2 linked regions of the Neodiprion lecontei genome follow. The protein of the gene in region 1 purifies or fractionates together with the protein of each later gene. This does not show direct contact. Links are inferred from orthologs where the notes say so. Each region holds a gene or a part of one and is shown on either strand. Other genes may lie near its edges.

Region 1 (4,707 bases):
AATTCATTTTCTTTTTTTAATCTTACCTTTATTTTATTATCTTACACCCTGTATATATAACGAAAGGATAATAATGTGGATGTTTCATATAGATAATAATTTATTTATTATTAAAACGGTGATCAATTATTCGTTAATGATTGACGGTAACAAACTTTTATAGTTATGACGGCTAAAAAACATCTAACCATGAAAATACACACACAACAAGCATACATACATACACTACACACCCAAATACACATACAAAATTGTAGATAATTTATAACAATCGCTATTGTCAAGTACTACGTATATATATCACTGCATATTATACCGATAATGATTAATAAAAGTAATGTTAGAAAAAAATCGTAGTAAACGTTCATCGCGTTAAATCGAAGCTCAAGAAACCGACATCGACTTCTACATTCTTTTGTACCGGGCGTAAATTACCACAGGTATGTGATATAAATTTAATTATATGAGTCTATTAATAATTGTACATCTACAAAATTACCATGTATGAAACCAATATAACACAAGCAATCAGTTTCGTTAAAACTTTGACTATTATTGGAAAAACAGCACAGTTCTCCAAAATTTCGACAGCCAAAAATGCAACGAAACCATAAAAAAATTACCTACGTTGAAAATAGCAGATTATATACAGGTAATGAAGAAAAATAACCATGTGTGAAGATTTTTTACACCTCTTTATTGCACTTATGTTTCATTTGTACAGTAATTTGATGAAATTAAAAAATAGAGTGTATTCTATCTCGAGTTAATATGTTAGATTCTGAAACTGTAGTGAAATACGAGAATACAAATCAAGTAAATATGGAGTATTTCTGTGATTTCGTTTAATACTAATTCATAAAAATCTGAAGATCAATCGAAGAAATAACAAAACATTTTACATAAATTATCAGAAGAGTCGCCCAACCACTTAAACTCATCTCGTATCAAAAAAAAAAGAACAAGAAAGAGCAAGTTACCTGTAATTTATTATGCTTGATAATACGGTTTTGAATTTAAGGATTTATTAAATAACCACCATACAGTGACAAATCAATTAGGTAATATTACTTTTAGATTGATATAATTAGAATCGATTGCGTGATAGATCATCCAAGTCTTAGGTTATTAATTGAGTTTGTATAAATGATTGATGTCTAAAAGTGTGAAAATTAACCACAGCCACCTTTTCCACAGCAACTTCTTTTTGGTGCGCGATAACCACGACTGGTTTCACCCATCAGAGGATTGTATTCTATGAAAAATAACAAATATTTAGATACCTATAATTGCACGAAAATATTATTGTTGAGTTGCAAAAATATCTATGCTTCGTAATCATGGATCATCATACATATTAACTCTGAATTAATTGTATACTTCTGTCTGGAAGAGAAATTACAAGCTCAATACTCATGTATATTAACATCTGGGATAACCGTTTCGAGTTAGAATCTACATATTTACCTGATTTGAGTGACTTTGAACTGGACTTTGAGCCTGATGCAGAATCATTGCCATCTGCATATCCCAATTTTTTACCGACATCTGTTCCTTCTGTAAGCTCCTTCAATGCTTGTCGCTTCTTTTCAATACGCTGTAAACGTCCAATAATTTAATTATAACTAATTGCGTAACACTGGATATGAAAATGTAGCTACTAGACAAGGAATTAAGAGTTTTTACTTCTACAATTCACTTTTAATACCAAACAAGATAAACTGAGAAGATAGAAATGAAACAACACTTTTACATGGTCTACATTTATCCATAGAAGTTTTAACAAACTACCTCTTGTTCTCGCTGTCTTGCTTTTTCAGCATCTTGCATATATTGAGCCTGCATTCTCAATCGTGCAGCTTCTATTGCAGCTTGTCTCTGTTGTAACATATCAGAGTCTAGGGAGAAGAGAAAACTGGTACTCATTAAATTCACAATTACAACATATGGGTTCGAAATTACAGAAAATAAACTCAAAGGCTAAGAAATGAAAGATGCAACGGAACGGCTATAGACCAGTTACTAATAATTTAGCTAAAAATCATTGCATGACTTAAATTTTTACTTACCTTTATGGTATTTTGCTGAATATTCGAATTCGTCTCTTTTTTGCCTCCAACTATTATACGTTTTCTTGATATATGGATGAAGGTAGAGTAAAACAACTATAGATGCAACTGCATACCACCCAAATGGAATGATCGCCTCCCACGCTAATGAAAAGAAAAGATCAAATTATAGAAATTAATAGCCAATGAAAGTCGTAGAACAAGGTAGTTTCAATTCAAATTACTGTAAGCTATGTTTGCCTATCTTCGGTACATGCCTCCAGTACGATATTTCGTCATAACTTACGATTTCATAGTATCATAAAAATGAGTACACATATAGTTATGAAGACAGGAATGAAGTCAAGATTAACAACAAACAAACGTCCAATGAAGAAAAGCCCTAGAGAAAAATTACCGTACTTTGTTTACTTGAGTTTATGCACTTATTTACAGATTCTATGGATGAAAGTGTTATAGAAACACAAGTAAAAATACGTCAGCAAACCTAACCTAGCCTCAAGCCCTAACTGTGAAAATGGTAATAAGAACTGTACTGCTATTCAATACGCACCACTTTCCACAAACGAATATGCGTTGTACATTTTGGAAGGTTTCGCGTATTCTCGCGGATCCAGCCGCTATTGAAGAGTCTTTGACAGCCGTCACGTAAGTCACGTTATACCAGCGTCAGTTTCGTTTATGATGACATTCAACAACTTGGCACATCGCCATGCTTGCTAATATCATACTGCATTTTCATCGTAAATGGTCGCTGTGCTGCTATGGCTTTTACTGTAATTTTTATCGAAGAATGGGAGAGTTTTGAACGCAGCCGTAGCAATCAGCAAGGCGCAGTGACCATAGGCTAGATTTTCACGAGCAGCAAAATGCTGCGGTAGCGAAAAACTGACGACACGGAACAGCACGGGCAATTGTTGCAGCATGCCGCTTGGTGGCGCCGCGGTAGCAAAATGCTGCCCGTGGAAATCTAGCAATAGAGTTCAGTGTAGCAGCGACACCGGAGAGCGATCGTCGCGAAGGCTCTGATTCGCTGAGTTCTCGCTCTATTATGCTGGTTGAAATGCTTGCAATTCTATTGCGGGGAAATTTGAATTAGTTTTCTATCACACCTATATGTTAAACCTTCAATTAAATAAACCTTGTGAAGTGAGTGCATCGAGTGATATCGTTCGGTATATCCCAATAGTCCGGTCTAAAAAATAAAACGAGTACTTGAACTTGAATTATTGTTCATTGTTTATTTAATATGTGCTTCTTTAAAAGTTATAATATTCACATTACTATTTGCCGACTTACAATCAAACGGCATTTACCTAATGCAATTGAAACTCGTTCCTGTAAATACTGAGATATTTCAAAGATTTACATAACATTTCACAATCGGCTTCGGTGTTTTATGGATTATTTTGCATCATCCCAGTTGTTTATTAGTGTAACGTTTGTGATAATGCGAACCTGCCTTATAGGGACCACTTACTACAGCTGCTACGGATATCTTCTGTTGATTCTTCCCTCAGGTATTTATAGTTTATAGTCTTCATCAGATTTTACTTACATGCAGTTGCAGCATATTATACAATAAAATAGACAACAGTAGCAGCAATGATTAAAGTCAAGTGATATAGATAAAAATGTTTCATAACGAATCCCTTTATTCAACGAAAAAAAATCGTTGATATGTACAAAATGATTATGTGATATATGATCGCAGTAAATGCATTACTCGCTACTCTTATCCCTAATTTACAGCTATTGTGTATTATTCTCATGTAGTGACACGTCTATAAATTCATAAATTAACAAGTTCCATGTAAGATGGAAAGTGCTACCTAACTGTCAAATAAGTTAAATTTAATGATACGCAGCTATTATCTACGTAGTTTTAGTCGCTGGTTGAATTTTATACAAGAGTTCAAATGATTAATATCCAAACTTATCATTAAGATTAGTTTTTCCATCGCCAGTTTGATTTTCTGGAGGTACCCACATTGAGTAATCCTCCTTGTATGTATCTTGTTCGTAACCTTTTTGCTTGTCCTTCTCCGCCTTCTCCAACCTTTGTTGTATTCTTTTCTGATTTCTCCGCTTTCGCTTTTGCACATCAACTTCCTCTCTCAATTTATCTTCTTTTGCTAATAATTTGGCTTCAGAAGAGCAGTCTATACGGTTTTGTTCTTCATTATTTTCGTCAGATTCCCTTCTATTATCACTTTCTAAAATACTACTCCCAGTTTCAGTAGATTCGCCATCACCAAGCGAACAACTTTCTGTCAGATTCAACTTATAAGCCTCTATTAATCTTGCATTAATAACTTCTTTTTCGTTCTCTGATTTATCATCATCTTCATCTGCCTCATTTGCTTTGTGGGTAATACTTAGTGAGCTTCCAACAGATTTTATGCCGCTTTTCTGAAAGCAATAAAAGTTTTTTCAATTACTTAATTTTTTTGATATTGAATAATCAACAGTTCATTCATTATTATAATTTTCAAAACAAAGTTACGAATCATCAGATTTAGGATTTAAAATTCATGTATGAGTAAAATTCGAACTAAATCAGGAATGTAAAGGACCAGGCGAGGACTCAAACTTACCAGGACTTTAAATTTTTTCCTACTGCCGATCATGGGTAGTG
Region 2 (6,912 bases), on another chromosome or scaffold:
GCATTTGATCAGGTCGCTCTGGCAATGGGATTTTTATGAAACTGTTATTTTAAATCGCGGTGATATCATTTAGAAATTTTCTTACTCCAAAGTGTGATCTGTGAAGAATGTCATCAATAACTTTGCAAATGTTACTGCCGTTTAGAGTGTCGAATACGACATTAAAAAAGCAAAATTCAACTGGATTCTAAGATAGAGCCCGACTGTAGATTAATCAGCGTTTAAGGTAATTTTAGAGTATAGCGCCGCAAAGTAATTTAGTGTTCTCAGATTCGTAGAGTGTCATTTTCACCTCCGATTTATGGTTTCAAATTTGATTCTTTTTATTCTCCCTATGAACCGGAGTCTATCTCATCTTTTCAGATTTTCGACAGTCCGATTTTAATACATAGCGTCATTTTTAATCCGGTTAATGTATCAGCCGAACGGTCACGCCCCACGCACCACTCACACTGCCTCTTTCTTGATCGACCCGCGGCTTCAAGCGCGGCTTCAAACTCATATGACAGACGCCATTGTACACACAGTAACTTGTTTCAAAAAATATCTAGCTCGATATTCAGCCACAACGTCAGATAACGTTTTTAAATATTCTTATTTTTCTTCCTTCTTTTTTGCTGTTGGCTATGTCCCTTACGGCATTGTGCCAATATACAAATACCGTCATCATCATCATTATCATAAAAATTTTAATTATATTTTTAAGATGCATACCTACAGCGTTTTTCACTGGCTCTACCTTGGCCCTAGAAATACCTATAGACATGAAGGAAGCCCTGGTACACTCTTCCGTATGAGCGGAAAACGATATAGAGAGAGAAGTAGTAATGCTACATCCTTTCTTTGTCTCGCAGGATCCGATTGGCCGACTCTACTGATCTCTATTAGCGTTTTCCACTGGTTGCACTGAGTGCGCACTGGTTCGAACAGGGGGCACTCGTTCCGTGCATGCGTCGCCCGGCATCGGGGCAAACCTTCTGAGTGGAACGCCGTAAAACGTATAAAGGCAGACTAGATCATAATTTCTCCTAAATCACAAATAATGTGACGTTACTCGACCGACTGCGCGACTATCAGTTTTTTCAAGCAAGTGATAAAGAAACCAATTGAACAAACGCAACGGTAATTTTTTGTTTGTAAATAAATGTCATAAATGTTAGGCACGAGCATACAAGGGCAAAAAAAATGGACAATTCCACTGAAAAGATAAAAATTAATAAGTAGCAAGTCAAGTTGTCCCAATCTCCTGAAATATACCTAGCAGTTAACCTCTAAAAGCTGAAAAAATGTGTTTCCATACTTCGATATCGGACATGCTGTGGATTACTCCTATGAAACTTAAAATTTTGGGAATCTCTCCTCTATCTTTCGGCTCCAGCAAGTCCATCATCACTGCTAGACGAAGATGAAATTAGATCTAATAAAAGAGTTGCTGTCACAGCATCTACTTAGACTCTTTCACGATCGGCAGCCATAATTGCACTGCTTTGACACCGACTCCCGATTTCAGGGCAATATTTTACGCACTCAGTGCTAAATTCACGCACCCGAGCTGCCAGTGGAACACGCTGGAAATACAAATCTACCGGTAGTACGCTCTCAGTTCACACTCAGTGCAACCAGTGGAAAACGCTATAAGTGGAAAACGGCAGTACATGCTTTAGAAGCAGAGCTACTCACGAACTTGGAAGCGCAAAGGAGATAAATGGTTGTTGGCAGCACTGGGAGCTAATTTCGGAACGCACCATTTCTTTCATCATCACTTAAGGCATGGAAAACAAGTAGGTTTCTTCTCTTGGTATAGTTTAGATCAACCGTGTCTTATGCATTAGCCAATGCTGCAATTTCGGAGTAATCGTTGTCGGCAGCGAAGTGGTGGATTTTGTCATCTGACGGTTTAATACACAATCGTCGCGGTTTTTGGATTTGTGCCGTACATCAAAAAGTGGTTGAATAGATAATACGGTGCAAAAATGTCAGAACTGAGAGAGTGGTTCAATGCCCAGCCATTATTTACTAGATGGTGGCTTCTTTTATCCGTGGGATGCTCTCTTTTGGGAAGATTCGGTATTTTCAGTCCGGAACGACTCGTTTTATTCTACATTCCATTCGTTCACAAATTCGAGATATGGAGAGCCGTTACCAGCGTATTTTATTATCCCCTTGGACCAACAACTGGGTTTCACTTTATGATCAACTGTTATTTCATCTACAACTATTCTGTAAGGCTCGAACGTGGCGAGTATGATGGACGACCAGCTGATTATTTCTACATGCTTCTGTTTAACTGGGTTTGCTGTGTCATCGCTGGACTCTTTGGAGAATTCCCACTTCTCATGGACCCTATGGTACTCAGTGTACTCTACATATGGTGTCATCTCAACCGAGACACTATTGTCAATTTTTGGTTTGGTAAGAAAATAGATGCATAAGACTTAATGTCGCTCCTTATTTTCAAACTTGTTTTACTTAATATTGATCGGCAAGGTTAGCTGTAATCGTACACCAATTTATTCCATAAGTTACCCAACACATTCCCTGTAGAATAATGATATTCTAGTTTGCTGTGTTAATGTAACAAACGTAATGGCAAAATATTTAGCTACTGCAGTTGGTTGAATGGTTTACAAAATGCCTAAAAAAAAATATCCAAATATCCAAAACCCAATTTGAATTGTTCCCATATTTTGAAAGTCCACAGGTGTAAAAGTTAGCGTAATGGGTCAATAGTCTATTGATTTTTTTGATTTTCATCATTCTTAAAACAATTGATTGCATTGGGAATTCTAAAACCCTATTTGTTTGATTTTCGAAATATGCTGCATAAAAAAAAAAACAGTTTTGTCGTAGTAAAGATTGGACAATTGGGCGATTCAAATGAATTTTTTTTATTTTATAAATAATTTCATTATCAAAGCATGAAACAAGCAAAAATCTTAAGCAAAAACTTGTAGTATCTATCAAAGTGATAATAAAATTTTCACTCTTTTCTTTATCAGATAGCATACTTGTAAATAAAAGCTACATTCACTATTTATTCATACTACAATATCGAGCAGGATTTCTGCCGTGTTTTGTCACAGAAATGTATGACCTATTATCTTGTGTTATTCACCTACTGTCCCGATTTACTTATTTTAATGTGGAGTTTAAATAAAAAAACAAGAAACACAGAAAACAATGTGATATTGTCATTACAGGGACGCAGTTTAAAGCAATGTATCTGCCATGGGTTCTCTTTGCTTTCAATCTTGTGATATCTGGCGGTGGAATGTTGGAACTGGTTGGTATTCTAGTGGGACATTTGTACTTCTTCCTGAAGTTTAAATACCCTCAAGAATTCGGAGGTCCAGATTTATTGGCCACACCTCAATTTCTCGAGGCTTATTTCCCTCCTTCAAGACTCAGAGGGTTTGGAACCGCTCCTTCACAAAGGGAACCACAGAGACCGGGCAGAAATATGTATGGTGGTTATCAATGGGGACGTGGCCAGCCTCTCGGCCAGTAATCAAGGTGTATACCTAATTAAACCAAGTTTACATCTGTATATTTTATGAAGAGTGAGTGTACAAGTATACCAAGAAACTGGGAGTAAATGAAACATACTATGTACAGGATGACACCGGACTATCGCCCCATAGGCTACCCATGTGTTCCTTGTGAAAATCTGAGGTTAAAAAATTTTTTACTTTTTTATAGAAAATTTATTCTTTATAAATTACAACCACTTCACATTAGCCAATCCAGTAGCATTTAATGGCTCAGAATAGGATTGCTAGGGCTGGCGAAACCCCATTTATTTGTTGTGCACTCAGCAGCTGCCCTGAGCCATCAAGTGCTATCGAATTGGCCAATTTCAAACAGTAATTTACAAATAACAAATTTACTATGAGAAATATCATTATAGTCGCAAATTTTCATGAAGAATACAACGGTAGCTTATGGGGCAATATTTCTAGATCACCCTATATACATACACATATGCATGTATATATTCGTGTATACGATATATATTTCTGAAGATAGATAGTTTTTTTTCTACTTTCTCAACTTTAAAAATGATAGAGTTAATTTAATGCAGTATGAAAACATTATTTCGAAGTTGCCTGATTAGTTTTCCATGGTAAATGGTGGTACAATTTGTTATTTGAAGATAATTAAGATTTATGGGAATATCTCAATGTTGACCTGTTATATGTTGATAAAATTAATTATATCAAATTTAATAATATACCTACCAGTTTTTGCTCGAGTGCTTGCAAAGTAAGTTTCTGGAACTAGAGAATTCTGCACTACAGTACTTCCAACAAAAGATAGTTCCTTTCTTCACTCTGATGGTAAAGCACATTTAATAAATACAATAATGCTCAAATAACAGGGTCAGGGTAACCGCTGGCTACTTATTGTGAGTGAGTGGGGGTGGGGGGGCTCTGCATAATTAAGTAAGAAGTTATACACGGATCAGTATAATTAGTATTTATGTTTGTCGAATGATTACTAAAATGAAGCTTAGCATTGAGATTTTGTTAATCGCTGCTTGTCAATTGTGAAAAATTAAATGCAATCTTGTCATTGCATTTTCAATTGTTAAAACAAACTTTCGATTTAATGAATCAATCTGATTTAGAAAATATGCGTATTGCTTTATATTAACATCAAAGAAGGTAGCAATTTGGAACGGATCTCGGAAAACTTGTCTCGTTCACTTCCTGGTAAATACCTACTTATATTGGACAGTTTGAATGAATCTAGAAAAATACACAATGATTTTAAACGATATATCACTTACACGTATTTATGTGTACCAATATCATATGAACATTAAGTGTCAGTAATAATATTCAGGCTGGTGACAGATGAGGAAGACAGGGAATTATGGTACTCCAAACGTAAGATGTCTTTTTCAAAAGTCTTCACCTTCAATATTCAACTTGTTTTTGACAAATTTAACAAATAATTCTGTACCACATGTCAGTACAGTATTGTAGACTATTATTTAATAAGATAATGGCAATCAAACAAAACTGAATGCTGGCCTGTGTACAGAAAGCATAAAAAATACGGCAGGAAGTCTGGAAATTTGATATTTATCTGTCTTGTCACCGCTATGAAGTTTTTGCTGTATCATGTACATAAATGTATATTTTATTATAAATATAATATATTAGGTACAGAATTCGTGAATAAACGTGGATATCTATGTATGTTTGTCACACATTATATACAAATGTACAGGTATTGATCCAATTGTTTATCAAAGCAAACTTACTTGCGTTATATACAGGGTGAGTTTTCTCCGGGGTCTGATCTAGGAGGAGCTTGGATATGTGAGAGTCCGCCTTCTTCTATTCATACTCGTCCTGTGTCAATGCTTGTATCCCGCTATCAAAACAATCCCTCATGTGAGTAGATTGTATTTCGGATGTGTGCTATACGTGTGGACGTAAACAGATTTAGAGATAAGCGTATCTGCTCTATAATCACACACTATTATTTTGAAGCGGACGAGTATGAATAGAAGTCGGACTCTCAGCACATCCAAGCTCCTCCCAGATCAGACCCCGGAGAAAACTCACCCTGTATATACTATACATATAAGTTGCTCATTTTATTCTTGAAATTCTCATGCAATAGTAGTTTTTGAACCAAAGCCAGAAAGTTGTATGGCTTTGGTGTGAACATTATTTTTTTTATGTAAAAGCCGTAAGATACGCCATTATGGTCGCGTTTTCCGACCCTACAGTTGAACTTGTGCTCAATTGAACACGTCTCTGTATAAGGTTCAATTTTATGGCAGCAAAATGCAACCATACTGGCGTACTTTATGGCTACTAAATTGAAAAGTTCATAACATTGGCATCTGTGATAGTCTGCTACGCCAAACTGCGGACAGCGCTTGAACCATCAACAGTGAGGTCATTCTGATAGAACCAGCCAATAGAGCCTCTCACTGACCCTACTGGCATCAATTTTAATTTTCTCCACCTGACAGCGAGATGTAGGCCACGCCCCTACCACACATCCAATTATGTAATATTTCGTTCTTACGCCTCAAGACTCAAATTCGCCAAGCTACATGCACAGCATCTGTTCTGTATCGTTGAACGCAGGTGGTTTGATGCCAGGGTGTGGGACCACTCGTGTTGAATTGTGATAAACCGGCAACAGCTATCATCACTCCATTGTCAATACAAAATCGTTCGTCAGTTGCATAAAGGGTAGCGTTTCTTTCCTCACACATCTCAGCCATCATTTTCTGCAGTCTTAAATTACAACCGACACCACCAACTATAAGAACTTCGTGCGATCCTGTGTGTGCCATAGCTCGTTCTGTTAGATAAACAAAATAAACGGTTTGATGTCAAGTTAAAAAGTTAATGCATTTTTTTCTTGTCAGCTTATTTAATTACCTGTTATTTCTATCAACATTGCAAATAAAGTTTCTTGTAAAGAAAAGCATAGATCTGCGTTTGTATATTCGCCATTCTTCAACCATTTGGGTAGTCGTTCTTCAATGTGACTCAAGATACCAGAAAATGACACGTCCATTCCTTTGACTGTATATGGCAGTGGCGCCAGTTTTTGACCTCTGTTGAAATAGAAAATGGCATTCATTAAATGAATGAAGAAAAGTGTCATAATTAGCAGAGATGTGTCAGAAATTCTCAATCTTGAGTTACTAGGCATGCATAGTACTCGTAGAGAAAAAAATGCATACGCAAATTTGAAACATAAATTCCGCATATGCTCATGTACATAGTTTTTTGGAAATACGGACTTTTGTCATTGAAGCTTATAAAAAAATTGACTAACCAAATTTGCAAAAGTGTTGGCAAGTGAATTTTTTGGTTGCAAACCCGTTGGACCTTCCAGTGTATGAATGTCGAAGAATTTAATCAAAAAATGTAATTA

What was found.
Region 2: the proteins of selenoprotein S (region 1) and derlin-1 purify together in Homo sapiens (affinity purification with western blotting; 6 studies listed by BioGRID and IntAct, with this or other methods). This does not show direct contact. The link is inferred for Neodiprion lecontei from reciprocal best matches to the Homo sapiens genes SELENOS and DERL1.

What each region holds. Positions count from the first base shown.
Region 1 is NC_060263.1:27,349,796-27,354,502, reverse strand, and holds selenoprotein S, read right to left. Parts: upstream 2,868-4,707; 5' UTR 2,654-2,867; coding exon 2,623-2,653; intron 2,214-2,622; coding exon 2,070-2,213; intron 1,899-2,069; coding exon 1,792-1,898; intron 1,598-1,791; coding exon 1,468-1,597; intron 1,256-1,467; coding exon 1,173-1,255; 3' UTR 679-1,172; downstream 1-678. Other genes in the region: kanadaptin, read right to left, coding at 3,993-4,481, 4,667-4,707. UniProt on the Homo sapiens protein: Involved in the degradation process of misfolded endoplasmic reticulum (ER) luminal proteins. Participates in the transfer of misfolded proteins from the ER to the cytosol, where they are destroyed by the proteasome in a ubiquitin-dependent manner.
Region 2 is NC_060262.1:20,812,250-20,819,161, reverse strand, and holds derlin-1, read left to right. Parts: upstream 1-1,814; 5' UTR 1,815-1,973; coding exon 1,974-2,412; intron 2,413-3,200; coding exon 3,201-3,508; 3' UTR 3,509-6,058; coding exon of another isoform or gene 6,059-6,330; 3' UTR 6,331-6,378; downstream 6,379-6,912. Other genes in the region: probable tRNA N6-adenosine threonylcarbamoyltransferase, read right to left, coding at 6,059-6,330, 6,411-6,589. UniProt on the Homo sapiens protein: Functional component of endoplasmic reticulum-associated degradation (ERAD) for misfolded lumenal proteins. Forms homotetramers which encircle a large channel traversing the endoplasmic reticulum (ER) membrane.